Oryzias latipes: one gene and its partners. The protein of the gene in region 3 purifies or fractionates together with the protein of the main gene of each other region. This does not show direct contact. Links are inferred from orthologs where the notes say so. Each region holds a gene or a part of one and is shown on either strand. Other genes may lie near its edges.

Region 1 (5,262 bases), on a different chromosome or scaffold from region 3:
GAAACATGCCAGCTTTTTCATTATCAGTTTTACAGCAAATGATGCTGAAAGGCCAGTCTCAACAGCAGAAACACAAACCACATTAGTAACAGATCCAGATTTCTTCCTGCAGTACCCAAAAACAAATAGAGTCCAGTACTTACTGGAGGGCGAGCCGGCCTGATGCTGAGACGGGGGAGCATGTGTGTCAGTCTCCTGACTGCTCCATGGTCTGTCCCAGCCGGACAGACGGAGAGACTGGAGGCCAAGGCCCAGGTCCGTGACAGTCGACTGGCCCCGGGATGGAGGCATATCCTGGGATCCGGGGATGCCCCCACAGTTGGGGAAAAGCATCCTCCTGCTGCCCACTGCAGCCAGCTCAGACTCTTCAGGTGCCAAGATCCAATTCAAACGATGGTAAAAGACAAGGAAAAAAAGAGTGTTAGCAACACTTGTATCCCACTGGTGACAGACAGAATGAGATCTGCAAAGCCACATCTGATTAAAAACAAACAAAACAAAAAAACAACCAACTCTTTAAAACACTCAGCTCTGCTAACAGTGGAGCTAACCTGCTGCCTCTGTGCCCGGTGCAACTGCCATGCATCCCTGTTCGCATCACTGACCCACCTAGTAGCATGTGACATGGCTGCTGATGCACTCGCACGCCCCTGCTAATGACATCAGCTCCCCCTCCACCCCCACCTCCTTGCTGAACAACTCAGTAATGAAAAATTCCAGTTGCGCCGGCCGGCTGAATGAAGTACGTCCCTCTGTGGTGGGTGCACAGCGGCTCAGTTAGCGGTGGTGGCAGCTGCTGCTTACCGTATCTGCTCTGGCTTTCTGAGTGAGCAGACCACGACTGGAGGGAGGGGGGGAGTCGAGGGACAGAACTACAACAGAATGGTGGGAGGAAGTCTGGCAGTGAGTGACTCAGCAGACTTTGACTCTAAAGTATTTTAAACCCAAAGAAGTAGGATTTTTTTAATAACTTCAGTTTGAAACTTCTGACATAAAAAGGTTTCTAAAACAAAAAGGGAGACTGGCATTTAAGCACATTTTTGCAGGAGCAGCTGACTGATCAGATGATGAGGTTTGAGCTATTTTGCACTGCCAGCTCCTCCTCTCCCCACAACTGGAAAGCTACCAGCATCCAGTCGTACCTCTGATTCAGCAACTCAATCTGGGCTGGAGAGGGCAAAGGCCACAGCAGAGGTTTAGGTCAGTTAGCAAAAAAAAAAAAAAAACTAACAGATTTACACTTCTGATTCATGATGCTGATGAAGAGGGAAAATATTGTGCAACTATGTTTTAAAGAAAAGGTTATTCTAGAGAAGAGAAAAAAAAAAGTTATGCAAAAACAATGCTGAGCTTTTCCTGGCAATTCCCACCGAGTAAGAAAGGAAGAAATGGCCGTTTAAAACTGGTGCAATGCTGCAGACTATTGATGCAGCATGAATCAGCTGTTGGCAAGGCAAGTGATAAACGAAAAGGTGAGAGATTTAACAGACCATGAGGCAAAACACTTGAGTGCCTTGAAATGTCTTGATTTATTTTAAGTGTTCAGTGATATTAAGTGTTCAGTGATATTTTAATTATGCCATTTCTGGGACAAGAAAAAAAGTTTTGACAATTTTTGCAGAGTAAAGCAAGAGTTAATTAGAAATTCGCCTCCAAGTTGTAGGTGGGACCCCACTTCCTGCCACACATTTACGCCCTCTCCCACTGGCTTACAGCCCTTCACAACCCTAACCCAACATTAGCAGTGCAGCGACAAAGATGGTGAGCAATATTGAAGCCGTCCAGCTTCGAGTCAGATGCCAGCTCGGAGGAAGGTTAGGAAATTGGGCAAAGTGGAAAACTTGTGGTCCATTAATTGCAGTTTCAACGTCACAAATACACTTTGTGCAGCTCTGCTCCCGTTTCATTACAATTTCAATAACACTTGGAAATGCCATTTAAGCTGAATTTACTTTATACATGTCCATTAGAAAAATGCCACAAAAAACATGTTTTATATTTTTTTTAAAAACTGTTGGGCCTTTACAATAGGTAACTAAACACAACTTTGCTGCCCAAATTCCAATTAAAACTGTTTAACGTGTAAAAGGCATTTCTCAAAAACAACCTTTTGAGTATGCATTCCAATTTTTTGTTTTTAAATCAGGAGCAGACGACGTAAATACTGTGGGACAAAGCCTGAAGCAGTGATGTAGGTGCTAAAAATCGGCAGGCCACAAGCTCCCTGCTTAGCTCCGTTCTGATGAGTCCACTTGCAGATGACGAGATGCTTTCAAGTCTTTTTTCCACGTCCGAGCCGGCATCTGGCTCAAAACTGTGTGGCTGGTTAGCTCCAGTTTTGCTCACCATTTTTGTTGCGTCGCCAATTTTAAGTTGGGGGTGTGAGCAGCTTAAGCTAGTGTGTGTGTGTGTACACAAAGGGATGATGGGAAATGAGGGCAGCCTTACTCTGCTCCAACTGTCTGATTTTCCAAATGTCCCAGAAAACAGATTTTTTAAAAACTCAAATGATTATTAGGTAAACTGAGCTACCCATGCAAGATTAATTTATTGGAACATTTGTATTACAAAAAAAAAAAAAAAAAAAAGATTTAAATTAAAATTTAGTTAAAAAAACATTTTGAGTTGTTACTTCTACATTTAGCTTTCCAAAGCACAAGATCTTTGAAGTTATGGATATAAAGTGTCCCAAATTCAGTGGTGGTAAATTGTTAGGTCGTGACCTTTAGGACAGCAAAGTGACCCAATCAGAGTTTAAGTTCATATAAAAGCCACAGTTCCATGAAAAGTCACAGAAGTTACCATTTCATTGACTGCTTAAGCTAGCTGACAACCAACAAGCTAGTAATTCAAAGTTAACTCGGTCCCGCGTGTGAAGACAGAAATGTAACAAGTCACCACATAGCAGGTCTGGCTTCTGCTTGCTGCTACTGTTGGGTGTGCTGCACACTCCGGTGAAGTCCAGAGCGTTTCCCAGGATGGAGTTCATCCTGCGGAAGATGTCCGCGTTGCTGCAGGTGGACAGCGCAGGAGACTCGGTGTCCGGGTTCTCCGGCCTGCGGGCATCGTTCCTCTGCGAGAAAAAGAGCGGCCAAAGTTCACCTCCAATTAAGCTAACACTCATTAGCACACAGTTTTTAATATTATATTTATTTTGTTAAAGAAACGTTGTCATTTAGTTTTATAGAGACGATACCAACGGTGTTTTATAACCAAAAAATTAACGGACTCCCTCACTAATTTAATTTTCAACTCACCAAGGAAAACGCCATAATGTGGACAGAAAGCCTAAAAAGAAGTGTCACAATAATAACGACCCCTGCCTGTAGGGAAAGAGTCACATTTATGAGGTTTGCTTGAAACTAATTAGTCATGATGTGACAAACGTGTGGTCGACTCATGTCTGCGCCTCGAGGGCCGTCGTCTGCTCACGTGACCCACATGATCAGAGCTTGTCCAAAACTCTAGAAAAGTAAAATCTTTATGTTTTACCCTTAAAACCGCTTTGTTTGAAAGAAATATGATATGTATGGTTTAAAAAGGTAACTAACAATAGCACGCTATTTTAGAAGGGGAAAAAAGGTTATATATTTATTTAAAAAAGGGCATTTTCTTTACTAGTGGTTCTAAAATGGAATGTACCACTCAATGGTCCATTGTGACACTTCAGGACTCACTTTAAATATTGTCGTTACGCTATACAAATCCTCAGAAATGACTTTAACAAACATTTTTCATAATAATTAAATTATTTAATTAGATCCTCGAAATATTTTTTTCCAGACTCCCCCAAAACAACAGTACTTAAGCGAGACTTCTCAAACCCAAACATTGACTATGAACCCAGCAGCAGTCACTGAGAATGACTTTTTTATGTGTGTGTGTGTGTATATATATATACACACACACATATATATATATATATACACACACACACACACACATATATATATATATATATGTATATATATATATATATATATATATATGTATATATATATATATATATGTATATATATATATATATATATATATATATATATATATATATATATATATATATATATATATATATATATATATATATATATATATATATATATATATATATATATATATATATATGTATATGTATATATATATATATATATATATATATATATATATATATATATATATATATATATATATATATATATATATATATACATTAACATTAACTAAAAAAGCAAAGAACGACTTATCTTTGTGGTTGGTGTCTAATTTCACTAGTGTTTTTTTTCTTCTAAAGAAAAAGAAAGAGAAAACATGGAAACTTTTTGTAGTTTAATAAGTCATAGGATGCTGTTTTTCATAAACAAACTGGACTTGTTTAATTTTTTGTTTTATTGTTTTTAATGCTTTTTTCTCTTTACAATGTTTATTTTCTTGTAGTTTTTTTTCTGTTTTGTGCATATCAGGGAGTGCATCATCAAAAAAAATGTAGAAGCAGAGATCATGATTCTTAAACAGTCTTTTTGAAAACAGAAATGAACTACCAGTATGCAGGTAAATAAAATGCAAATAGTAATAAATTAGAACATTTATTTTTAAATGACAAGTTAAAAAGGTGGGTCTTCTTTTTAAATTCCTCAACTCCAGATGAAGTTCTCAGATCCCGCAGGGAGGCTGTTCTGCAGAAGAGACCCAAATTCCTCGAATTAGGTTTTTGTTTTTATGCCTGAAAAATGCCTGATTTAACCGGACCAACGCTGGATTTACACCGGTTTGTCTAAGGTGCGTCTGATATTTCTCATAAATCTTTATTGTGAAAGTACAACGGAAGCCTTTTATTTTGATAGCCGGATGTGTTTGCTGTTTCTCTGGCTTTTTACCATGAAATTGGCGCGTCGACGGACAGGAAATAGAACTCCCTGCGTAAAGCTTGCGTTGCGTGGCGGACGGAAGTCAGACGCAGACATGATGGAGGCGACGTAAACATCACTTCTATTGATTTAGTGAACGTTCTGTTATTTTGTGGCAACGCAACGCAGTGTTGACGCACTGCAGACGGACTAGTACATATCAGGCGTTAGGAGTTCCGTTGTACTGTCAAAATAAAGCTTTATAAAATGTTGTGTTATGTTTAAGGGAAAGTGACCACGCAATAACCATAACGCGCCTAGTACCACCGCGGAAAACACCAACAATGGACGACGAACGTTTAATTTTAGAAGTACAAAAACACAACATCCTTTATGACACAAAACATCTATTTTACAA
Region 2 (5,264 bases), on a different chromosome or scaffold from region 3:
TGTTAAACTGCTAATGTTCCTCACTGCAGAACAATGACAGAACAAGAGCAGAGCCTCAGGCGACTCACCTTGTAACAGGTGACCTGGTCGAGAGGTCGGGGTCCTCTGTTGGCATTCATGTTGTTTTGATGAGAAATGATGTTTGTGTTGTTCTGCTGGCGTTGGCCTGGACTTGAGTTGGTCAGCTGGATGAGAGAAAGAGACGAGCGTCCGCTGGAAGCTGCAGTCTGTGGCAGAGAATGAACAGAGAGCTGTAAAAAAAATCCCATTGAAGCCCAGAAATACTTGAAGCACTTGCAGGTACTGAATCTTGGATCCATTTTCGCACCTTTCCCTGGTTTTGTATTTGCTGTGGTAGAGGGGGCTGTTCAGATGTTCCCATAGGCAACTCAAACCGCGGGCTGCAGAGGAACATTTATCATCACATGATGTCGCTCACATTCAGAACTTTACCCAAACCAATTACACCATTATTGAAAGCAGAAATGTTTACTTACTGCATAAATTTACAGGATTTGCCTTCTGGACAGAAGCCCACCAGATAATTCACACAGATCACTCTTCTGGTGTGTCTGTGTCTGCAGTCAGGACCTAGTGGGGAAGGAGAACAAAATGAAGATTACTTATATCAGTGGTTCCCAACTTTTTTCAGGCCCCGGTCTGATTGAACAGTCAATATTTTCACACAGCAGTCTGTATGAGACTGAAAGGGACGACCAACTTTTTTTTATCTTTGCCTTCAGTTTCCCTTTAACTTTTGAGGGTCAAGTTTATCTTCATCGTCTGTAAAATATTTGTATTTCTATGGATATAGTTCACCCTGAAAGGCTTAAGAAAAGCAGGATACAGGCCCGTTAATCCATAACTGTCAAAGTGGAAGCTACAAAAATCGAATTCCAACTTCAGCCTCGTCTGACTTTTAAGGACAGATAAATATGAAAAATAATTGTGTCTAAAAATTGTATTTTCTAAACATACTAATAAACCATTTCAGCAACGTTATTTGCAAACATCCTCGTAACATTACACAGCAGGTTGCTGAATATGATGCCCCATTGTTATGGCGTGTGGGAACAACTGTCACAATGAATCCACATTTGCAGTAAAGACTCCTGGTTTTTGTCTGTTCAAATGCAGATTTCTTGTATTTTGAAGATAAAGGCTCTTCTTCTGTTTCCTCACTTAATATGCTCTATGAACAAAAAAAACTTTCCAGGAACATTTGCGTTTTTGTCAGCACGTCACTGAGCAATTTGTTATGTGTCAAGAATGAGTCAGATGTGGTGGGGAGAATTCAGAAATTTTTCAAAATAAAGCCTCTTTCCGAATCAAATAAAAAATAAAAACGGTAAAAATGTGGGTTACAACGAATCCAGAGCACGAAAACCTGACACTGGGCTGGACCTTACCGTGTTTGCAGAAGCCTCTGTCGTACCAAGGACAGTCTTTGATCTTAGACTCTGGATCGATGTGCAGGAAGGGACATTCCTTGTTGCTGCACTCACCTGAGAGCCAACACACAGTTTGAATCTATCAGACCTGCGTGCTAAGCAATGGAAAGCGTTTTAAACGAGGAAGTCAAGTGAACCCACCAAACTTTGAGTAGAAATAGCATTCAGGCATCTTGGTCATGTCGTATTCGTGCAGAAACTCGCACTGGTCTCCCTTCTTACAGAGCCCTCTGAGCCAGTGCTTACACACCACCGTCTTCTCCCCGCTGATGTGACGGAACGGACACATTCCACCTGAGAGACACAGACACAGCTTTGTGGATTCATACGACACATGCAGGGATCGTTTTCCTCACTTTTATATGAAAGCGTGACCCACCAAAACCTCACACAAATATAGACATACGATTAAAAATAAAGTCTCTGCAGAACTGCCTTCTTTGTAACCCCAGAAATGTAAAACAGGTTTTAGGGTGCACATAAACAGGACAAAATAAAAAGTAAGAAGGCCAGACAATAATGATTACATAAATGATTACATCCAGACCTTTTAGCCGTATTTTGCTCATGTCTGCCTTAGTGTGACACTGAGTACATACAGAAAATCACAATAAAACACAAGAAGTTAATGAAATATAGAGCTGTAAAAGGTAAACTGAACATCACGACAGTGAAAGCCACGAACGGGCAAATGTCCCAACTAAATTCTGTAAAAATCTTAATCAGTGTAAGTCATCTATTAAAAAAAAATGAAATCAGGATTTTACAAACAGCAGTAGTTTGTAACTAAAGCTCTGGCTCATTATTTAAGAAAAAGGAAATAAGGTTATTAAAGAGTTATTTCATAAAGTTTAAAAATTATTTTAAACATTTTTTACAAGTTAGCGTTTGTCAATAGAATGCAAATAAGGTTTTAAAGAATAATTATTTCAAAGCAAACTTTTGCAAAGAAAACAAAAAAGTTTAAATTTACTTAGTTTACCAAACATATCCAGAAAGAAATAATAATAATCACCATTAACCATTTTAAATGAAAGAAAAATATTTAAAAATAGTTGTATCCACCTCTTTAGTTTATCAAAGAACTTTTTTTCAGCGGTTTATTATTTCTGTAATAAAAAAGTTATAGTAAACTGGTTCCCGCCTACAACGTACTAAAATGACAAACGATACCAACAACATGTAAACATTGCAGTTTCCTTCCAAATAAAACGTTTCTGAACATTTAAAACTGTTAAATGCAGATAATAATAGCAGCGCAACAGATGCTTCTGACTGTAGATGCTTTACCTTTCATACACGTTCCCTTCATGAAGAACTCGCACACAGCTGAGCCGGACTCTGCAAAAAGACAACATTATAACTGAACTGACAATTATAACGTGTTGTTTCTATTAAAAATAACAGAAACCAAAGAGGGCGAACCTGAGAAAAACTATGGTTATTCTCAACAAAAAAAGATGCTAGCATTAGCATAAGCTAGCATCCATGCACTTACTGTCCATGCCGGGAAACGGCAAAGGCTGCGCTCCCAGCTGCTGCTCCACAGCGATCTCCAGGTCGAACTTGATGTGATCCACGTTTGCTAGTAGCTCCTGCATGTTTGCCTTGAGTTGGTAGCTTTCAAAGCAAAGACTTGTTCGGTTAACTTAAGCTAAGATAGCTTAATGTCGAAACTGTTAGCCGGCGATTCCCTCATTAGCCAGCTAAAGTGGCTAACGGGGCGAGCCAGGCGAAACAACAAGAGCAGAGGATAACAATGAGATAAGGTAAGGATCACCGAAGTCCTTATATCAACTATTTCCAAACAAACAGGTGAACATGACTTAATATTTTTGTCTCCGAATCGACAGAGGTTCTGTTTGAGGACGCGCGCACATTGACCTCTGACCTGACGAATTCAGACGGATCTAAACGATTGTCGAGCAAGTCGAGTGATGTCACCGTTGAGTTAACCAAACCTGTTCATTTCTGACACTTTGCCTCTGGCAAATGACCAAAAACGAATGAAAATTTCATTTATTTTACTATTTTATTGTTTAGACATATTGGACACGTATGTGCATCTGATCATTTTTCTTAACTTGCACCTCGTGTATGCATTTCCATGTCCAATTATTTATAAAAATAAACAAAAAACAGGTTAAAGTTCAATTCAGAGATTAGCATGTCACACACCAGATCATGAATACAAAATGCTTTTGATGCTTCATCACTGCAAACCCCTCTCCTAAACAAAAAATCACTCATTCAAAGTCTGGTATGATCAACCAAATGATTTGATCCATTGACTGCATAAGAGACTCTAATACAACGTTGTGATCTGCTGGTTTTAGGGTGAAACACGACGCTTCAGAAATGAGTAATTGTTCAGCATTTTATAATCATTGGAAGCATGATGATATGACATGTTTAAGCAAGAATAAGCTTTCTAAGCTTTTATTGTGTTTTTCTACAGTGGAAAAAGAAAAAAAAAACAGTATTCAATACTTTAATACTTCAATACATAGATGCTGAAAAGGCTTTTGACAAAATAGATTGGACATTTTGCAAGTTCGATTATTAGTTCGAATTTGGAAAAACATGTAATTGTTGGTTTAGATGCCTGTACAAGAACTCTAAATCAAAGTAAAAATGATTGGACATTACAGTTTTTTAAATAATAGAAAATAAAATAAAGGGGAGTCAGACCTTACCCTCTACCCTTTTTTGTATCAAACCTCTAAGAGAGATGATACATCAAGAAATTCATACAGGAGTTTATTTATAAATGATCCCTTTATGCCAATGATATTTTGCTATTTGTTAAAAGCCCGTTGCTTCAAGACTTACGTCATGTTGACAGGAATATAGACGTTTCAGGCTATAAAATAAACCAAAAGAAAGCAGAAGTAATGATGTTATCAGGAATATGGCAAAATAACCTAAAACTTTAGATATCAATAAAAATAAGAAGATTTTATTGTATTAGTCTTTAAAAGGACAAAGAAAAAACAGTATTCATTGGCGGTTTCATGAAATCTTTTTATTACAGTGAATGAGTTACACATACTCATGGAATGTTTTTGGACTTAATTTACTAAAAATCGAAATTCCAGTCATGAATTTCCAGTCAGTTTTGATCGTAACATCTAAAAGATGTGAATCCCAAGTAAAACATCAGGACTCTGTAACATTACTAAATCATGACACAATGACATTTGCAGGACTGAGCTTAAATGTGTCTTTAATAAAAACAATTCTATTGAATTATCAAGTGAGGAATGCTTTAAGGTCAGAATACACCCATTGACTGGTGTGTTTAAACAATAAACGTTAGTCCAACTCTCGTCTGGCCTCACAGTTCCGGCAGGCCGGGCATGGGGAACTGACCGGCAAAAGCCTCCACCTCGGCTCTCAGCGCAGCTACTCGCTCCTGAAACTTCTCTCCCTGAGCCAGAGCCTGGACAAACTCCTTCAGAGTGGCTTTGGGATCCTGGCTCCTCTGCACATCCAGGGTCAATTCAACAGCTACAGGAAAAAACATTGGCGAAAGTCACGTTTTGCCTGAGAAACATCACTTTATGTTTTTAGGAGCATTTTTAGATGGATGGTGCACCTTTGTGGATGAACAAAGCCACCTTCTTGAAGTCTTCCTCCACCAAGCCCCTGGAGGTCAGAGCTGGAGAGCCAAACCTGAGTCCACTGGGACGGAGAGCGCTCTTGTCTCCTGCAAAAATACAACAAAAAAAAAAAAGATATTTGAAAGGTTCCTTCCCTCTTAAGCTTACAAACTGATCAACTCATTTGCACCCCAGCTTATGTCTGAATACC
Region 3 (4,207 bases):
TAACATTTTTATAAAAAAAAAACAGTCTTTAAAGGACTTGTTGAAAGATTACGAGTGTTTGTTTTCTTGCCATCACTTGCAGAGGCTGTAACTTTGCTTTACTTAGTTTTTCTTTCTGCACAGGTTAGTCTCTATTGCAGCAGCATCACACCCAGAGATTCTTTAGATTACTGTGTGGTGACTCTGTAGTTTTAGATTGACTAATAGAAATAGAATTTTAGATTCAAAATTTTAGGTTATTCTTGCTCTTTTCTTAATTCCCCCACGGTTTATATTTTAATGTTTCATTTTGTGCTATCAGTGTGGATTATAAATTCACTATGGATTTGTTTTAATTTGTGACAACAATTACAGACATTTTTTGAATTTAAAACATATTTTGGGTACTCCGATCCCGTTTCATTACAGGTTTTCTTTTCTTCTTCTTTTTTTATTCCAATAATGTTGTTTTTGGGAATATTCTGAATGAAATTAGCATAACTCATGTCTAACCATATTTGGGCATCGGAGGCCTATAAAAATTGCTTTTGCAAAGACACATGGTTTCTTTATTTATTATGGTTTTTTAAAATTGCTTTTGCAAAGACACATGGTTTCTTTATTGATTTATGGTGCGTGTTCTACTGTTTAGAACCAGCTCTTATGGAAGATGATGAAGACAAGGAGGAGCCAGCCCCCCTCGCAGCCCCCAAGCCAGCGGCCGTTCCAGCCGTGCAGTCTGCCCTTGACCTTACGGCCGAGTTCCTTCACCCGCTGCTAACTCCTGAAAATGTCGCCAACCTCGTAAGTGTCTGAGATCATTCTCAGGCTGTCTTTTTTTCTGAGGGTTTGTGTCCTAAAACTCTTCATTACCTCGGTTTAGGTGCTCATCAGCATGGTGTATCTGCCTGATGTGATGCCAGCATCTTTCCAGGCCACATACACACCTGTTGAATCTGCAGGTACTGATGCGCAGATTAAACATCTGGCCAGGATGATGGCTACACAGATGACTGCAGCTGGAATTGGTCCAGGTGAGCATCACAAACGTGCACCAGAAACACTTCATAGTAAAAGAAAAAAACATAAAACGAAATAAGAATCCTCAAAGATGCTGGTTTGTCTTATATGAGCATTTTCTGAACTTTGAACCTTAGGTCTTGAACAAAGCAAAGCAAAGGGGGATGAGGCTTGCAAAGAGGAACAGAGCGAGGAAGACTCTACTGCTAAAGACATTCTCATCAAACGCAAAGTTCCTGCTGTGATCTTGGGCCAAGCCATCTCTGTGGTCGGAGGTTACTCCGAGAAGCCCTCTGCTACGGAACCTCCAGCCGCACCAAAGAGGCTTCCAGAGCCCATCCTTCCATCTGCACCAACCAAGTGAGTTCTAGCACTTCATTCAGACAGCAAAGAGGGTGAGATCTCGCTTGTCACCCCGCATGATTCTGGTTCTTTACAGGTTGATGGGGGCAAGCGGTAGGAAAAAAGTGTTCCGCTTGTCAGATGTTGTTCAGCCTCTATCAGACACCCAGAATGAGAAGTTGACTTCAAGCGCTGTGAAGCGCATTTTACATTCAGAGAAAGCGATTGCACAAAGTGGAATGTCCCATGTGAGTAACCCAAATCAGGATACATCTTGACTTTAACGAGTGCAGGGGGGTTAAAACTGGATAGGGTCAGTCTATTTCCTTCCTTTGGGGTATAAGAATGTAAAATCTGTGTTGCAGATCAGAGTAAAGCTCCTCTCCAGACTTGTGACACAGTTTGAAGGAATGATGAAAGAGGACGTACTTCAATTTATTTTAGAGGACATCCGGTCAAGGAGTGATCTGGCCTTTTCTCTGCTCTACCAAGAGTATAACACTTACCTCAGCCAGCTCCCTTCAGGCCTGCTGGACAGCTATGATCAGTGTCTTTTCACTCTGCTGTCAGGCCTGCAGGAGAAGCCTGAGCAGAGGGATGGGTAAGAACACATGCTTGGTATCAAGATTTGCTACATTGCTTTGGTTGCTGTGTATGTATAGGAAGATTTGTGTGTTCCTTATTTCTAGGCTTTTCACCAAGCTGGTACTGGAGGCTCCCATTATAACCGAATCTGCATTAGAAGTAATCCGGCGTTACTGTGAGGACGAGGTAAAAAAACAAAACACAAAAAAGCCCAGCTGTACTCCGGTGGCTACTTCTCAACCTTTCCTTCAGCATTCTGTGAGCCATTTCCTTTCGTTTCAGTCTCGCGTATATTTAGGAATGACAACTCTGAAGGAGCTCATAGTCAAGCGGCCCTCCAGGCAGTTTCAGTATCTGCACGTGCTTCTGGATCTCAGCTCCAACGAGAAAGAGAAGGTGATGCTGGGATGGGCACGTGTCTGATCTGTTCTTGTGCTAAATATCTGCTCTTCCATTTCAGGTGCGCACCACTGCCTTGGCTTTTCTGAAGCGCATGTATGAGAAAGACCAACTGAGGGATTACATCGAGAAGTTTGCTCTAAACTACCTGCAGCTTCTGGTTCACCCCAACCCGCCATCTTTGCTCTTTGGAGCCGACAAGGATACAGGTTTGTTCATAACATATCTGACTTATGATTGTGATGATGCGATCTTCACATTTTTGCCTCAATGCTCTTTGCATTTGTTGACACAGAGGTGGCTGCCCCCTGGACTGAAGAGACAGTGAGACAGTGTCTTTTCCTTTACCTGTCCCTGCTTCCTTTGAACCACCGGCTGGTCCACGAGCTGGCTTCCGTCTACACTGAAGCCATTGCTGACATCAAACGCAGCGTCCTCCGAGCAATAGAGCAGCCTGTAAGGCTTTCCTCACTCATTTGTTTAGGAAAGTTTGGGTTGTTTGAGTCATAAGCAGCGTGAAACATAAACCAACCCCTCAGAATAATAATAAAAAAAACAATTTAACAGTCAAACTTTTTAACTTTATGGTTTTGCCTAAATCACGCAAATTAAAACAAAACATAAAATAAAATCAGAGTTCATGCTTCCATTGATGAAATGATGAGAATGTTTTAATTGGTCAGCAGTAATGCCACTGTAATGCAGGTTTATTTTAATTGTATTTTGACCTATTTATGGGTTTACCATTATAAACTTCAGTACATGAGTTAGTTTGTACATTCCATCAGAAAAAGAAATTATTCTACTACTTTTCCTTTTAAGGAAGTGCCTTTAAACACCAATTGAAATGTTTTTGTGTACATCTTAAATTAGTCTAAATTTTTTTGTTTGATTTCATGTTTCAACAAAAATTTCCTTTTTTTCTCCCTATTTTCAGTTTTTCTCTACATTCTTGAAACTTCTCACCTCACACCTCTTCCTTATGAACAAAAACAAACAGTTTGAGAGCAGAACGAGATATTAGATCTCTGTACCTTTTTAAAGTCTGATGAAGGGCTTTCACAAGACCTCAAGAAAATCAAAAAGGAAATGATTTGAACTAAATCATTTGAGTAGTTTGTGCTTTTTGATTTATCTCTTTGCTTTAGATTCGTGGAATGGGGATGAACTCTCCAGAGCTGCTACTGCTGGTTGAAAATTGTCCTAAAGGAGCAGAGACTCTGGTCACTCGCTGCCTGCACATATTGACTGATAAAGGTAATGTTTAATTTGTACTGGATTTAGGTCACAGAGTGGAGATTTTTCTGAAAGGAAAATGTATTTTTGCATGATTTGGTGCATTGTCCTCCATGAGAGCGTACAATGAAATATGTGGAAACTGTCTTTATTGTAGTGCCACCATCACCAGAGCTGGTGGAGAGGGTGCGAGACCTTTACCACAAAAGAGTGCCAGATGTTCGCTTCCTAATCCCCGTCATAAATGGTCTTGAAAAGGTGCCAGTCTAGTTAACAGTCAGTGAATCAACCGCTAGGATTTTTCGGGATTGTCTTTACTATTCCTGTTTGTTTTTGGTTATCTATAGAATGAAGTCATCCAGGCTCTCCCTAAACTCATCAAACTGAACCCGATTGTTGTGAAGGAGGTCTTCAACAGACTCTTAGGAACTCAGCACAGTAAGAGCTATTTTTATCTAATGTTTGCATAATTCTTTGAATCCATGCTTAATTTTAGACATTTCTACTACACAAGTCCAGCCCAATAGCAAATTAAGCATATATTTGATTAAACATGTTAATTAAATCTTTAATGCTAATTTCTTACTTTTATTTATGAAAATATATTTACTTATATTTGAAACCAGATCCATTGTTTACTGCTGAG

What was found. The genes of interacting proteins can lie anywhere in the genome.
Region 1: the proteins of sympk (region 3) and cpeb1 purify together in Homo sapiens (affinity purification with mass spectrometry; 3 studies listed by BioGRID and IntAct, counting the BioPlex papers as one, with this or other methods). This does not show direct contact. The link is inferred for Oryzias latipes from reciprocal best matches to the Homo sapiens genes SYMPK and CPEB1.
Region 2: the proteins of sympk (region 3) and cpsf4 purify together in Homo sapiens (affinity purification with mass spectrometry; 4 studies listed by BioGRID and IntAct, counting the BioPlex papers as one, with this or other methods). This does not show direct contact. The link is inferred for Oryzias latipes from reciprocal best matches to the Homo sapiens genes SYMPK and CPSF4.

The regions. Positions count from the first base shown.
Region 1 is NC_019861.2:10,607,060-10,612,321, reverse strand, and holds the start of cpeb1 (cytoplasmic polyadenylation element-binding protein 1), read right to left. Parts: upstream 3,368-5,262; 5' UTR 3,273-3,367; coding exon 3,258-3,272; intron 3,074-3,257; coding exon 2,899-3,073; intron 797-2,898; exon of another isoform or gene 583-796; coding exon of another isoform or gene 552-582; intron 366-551; coding exon 144-365; intron 1-143. Other genes in the region: transcription factor Adf-1-like, read left to right, coding at 5,189-5,262.
Region 2 is NC_019866.2:19,282,768-19,288,031, forward strand, and holds the start of cpsf4 (cleavage and polyadenylation specificity factor subunit 4), read right to left. Parts: upstream 3,368-5,264; 5' UTR 3,053-3,367; coding exon 2,950-3,052; intron 2,793-2,949; coding exon 2,742-2,792; intron 1,746-2,741; coding exon 1,593-1,745; intron 1,506-1,592; coding exon 1,410-1,505; intron 592-1,409; coding exon 498-591; intron 402-497; coding exon 329-401; intron 228-328; coding exon 69-227; intron 1-68. Other genes in the region: shmt1 (serine hydroxymethyltransferase, cytosolic), read right to left, coding at 4,789-4,961, 5,050-5,160, 5,264-5,264. UniProt on the Homo sapiens protein: Component of the cleavage and polyadenylation specificity factor (CPSF) complex that play a key role in pre-mRNA 3'-end formation, recognizing the AAUAAA signal sequence and interacting with poly(A) polymerase and other factors to bring about cleavage and poly(A) addition.
Region 3 is NC_019879.2:16,687,356-16,691,562, reverse strand, and holds part of sympk (symplekin), read left to right. Parts: intron 1-631; coding exon 632-783; intron 784-862; coding exon 863-1,013; intron 1,014-1,136; coding exon 1,137-1,359; intron 1,360-1,438; coding exon 1,439-1,589; intron 1,590-1,706; coding exon 1,707-1,942; intron 1,943-2,030; coding exon 2,031-2,112; intron 2,113-2,208; coding exon 2,209-2,322; intron 2,323-2,386; coding exon 2,387-2,534; intron 2,535-2,620; coding exon 2,621-2,781; intron 2,782-3,473; coding exon 3,474-3,582; intron 3,583-3,718; coding exon 3,719-3,819; intron 3,820-3,908; coding exon 3,909-3,999; intron 4,000-4,207. UniProt on the Homo sapiens protein: Scaffold protein that functions as a component of a multimolecular complex involved in histone mRNA 3'-end processing. Specific component of the tight junction (TJ) plaque, but might not be an exclusively junctional component. May have a house-keeping rule.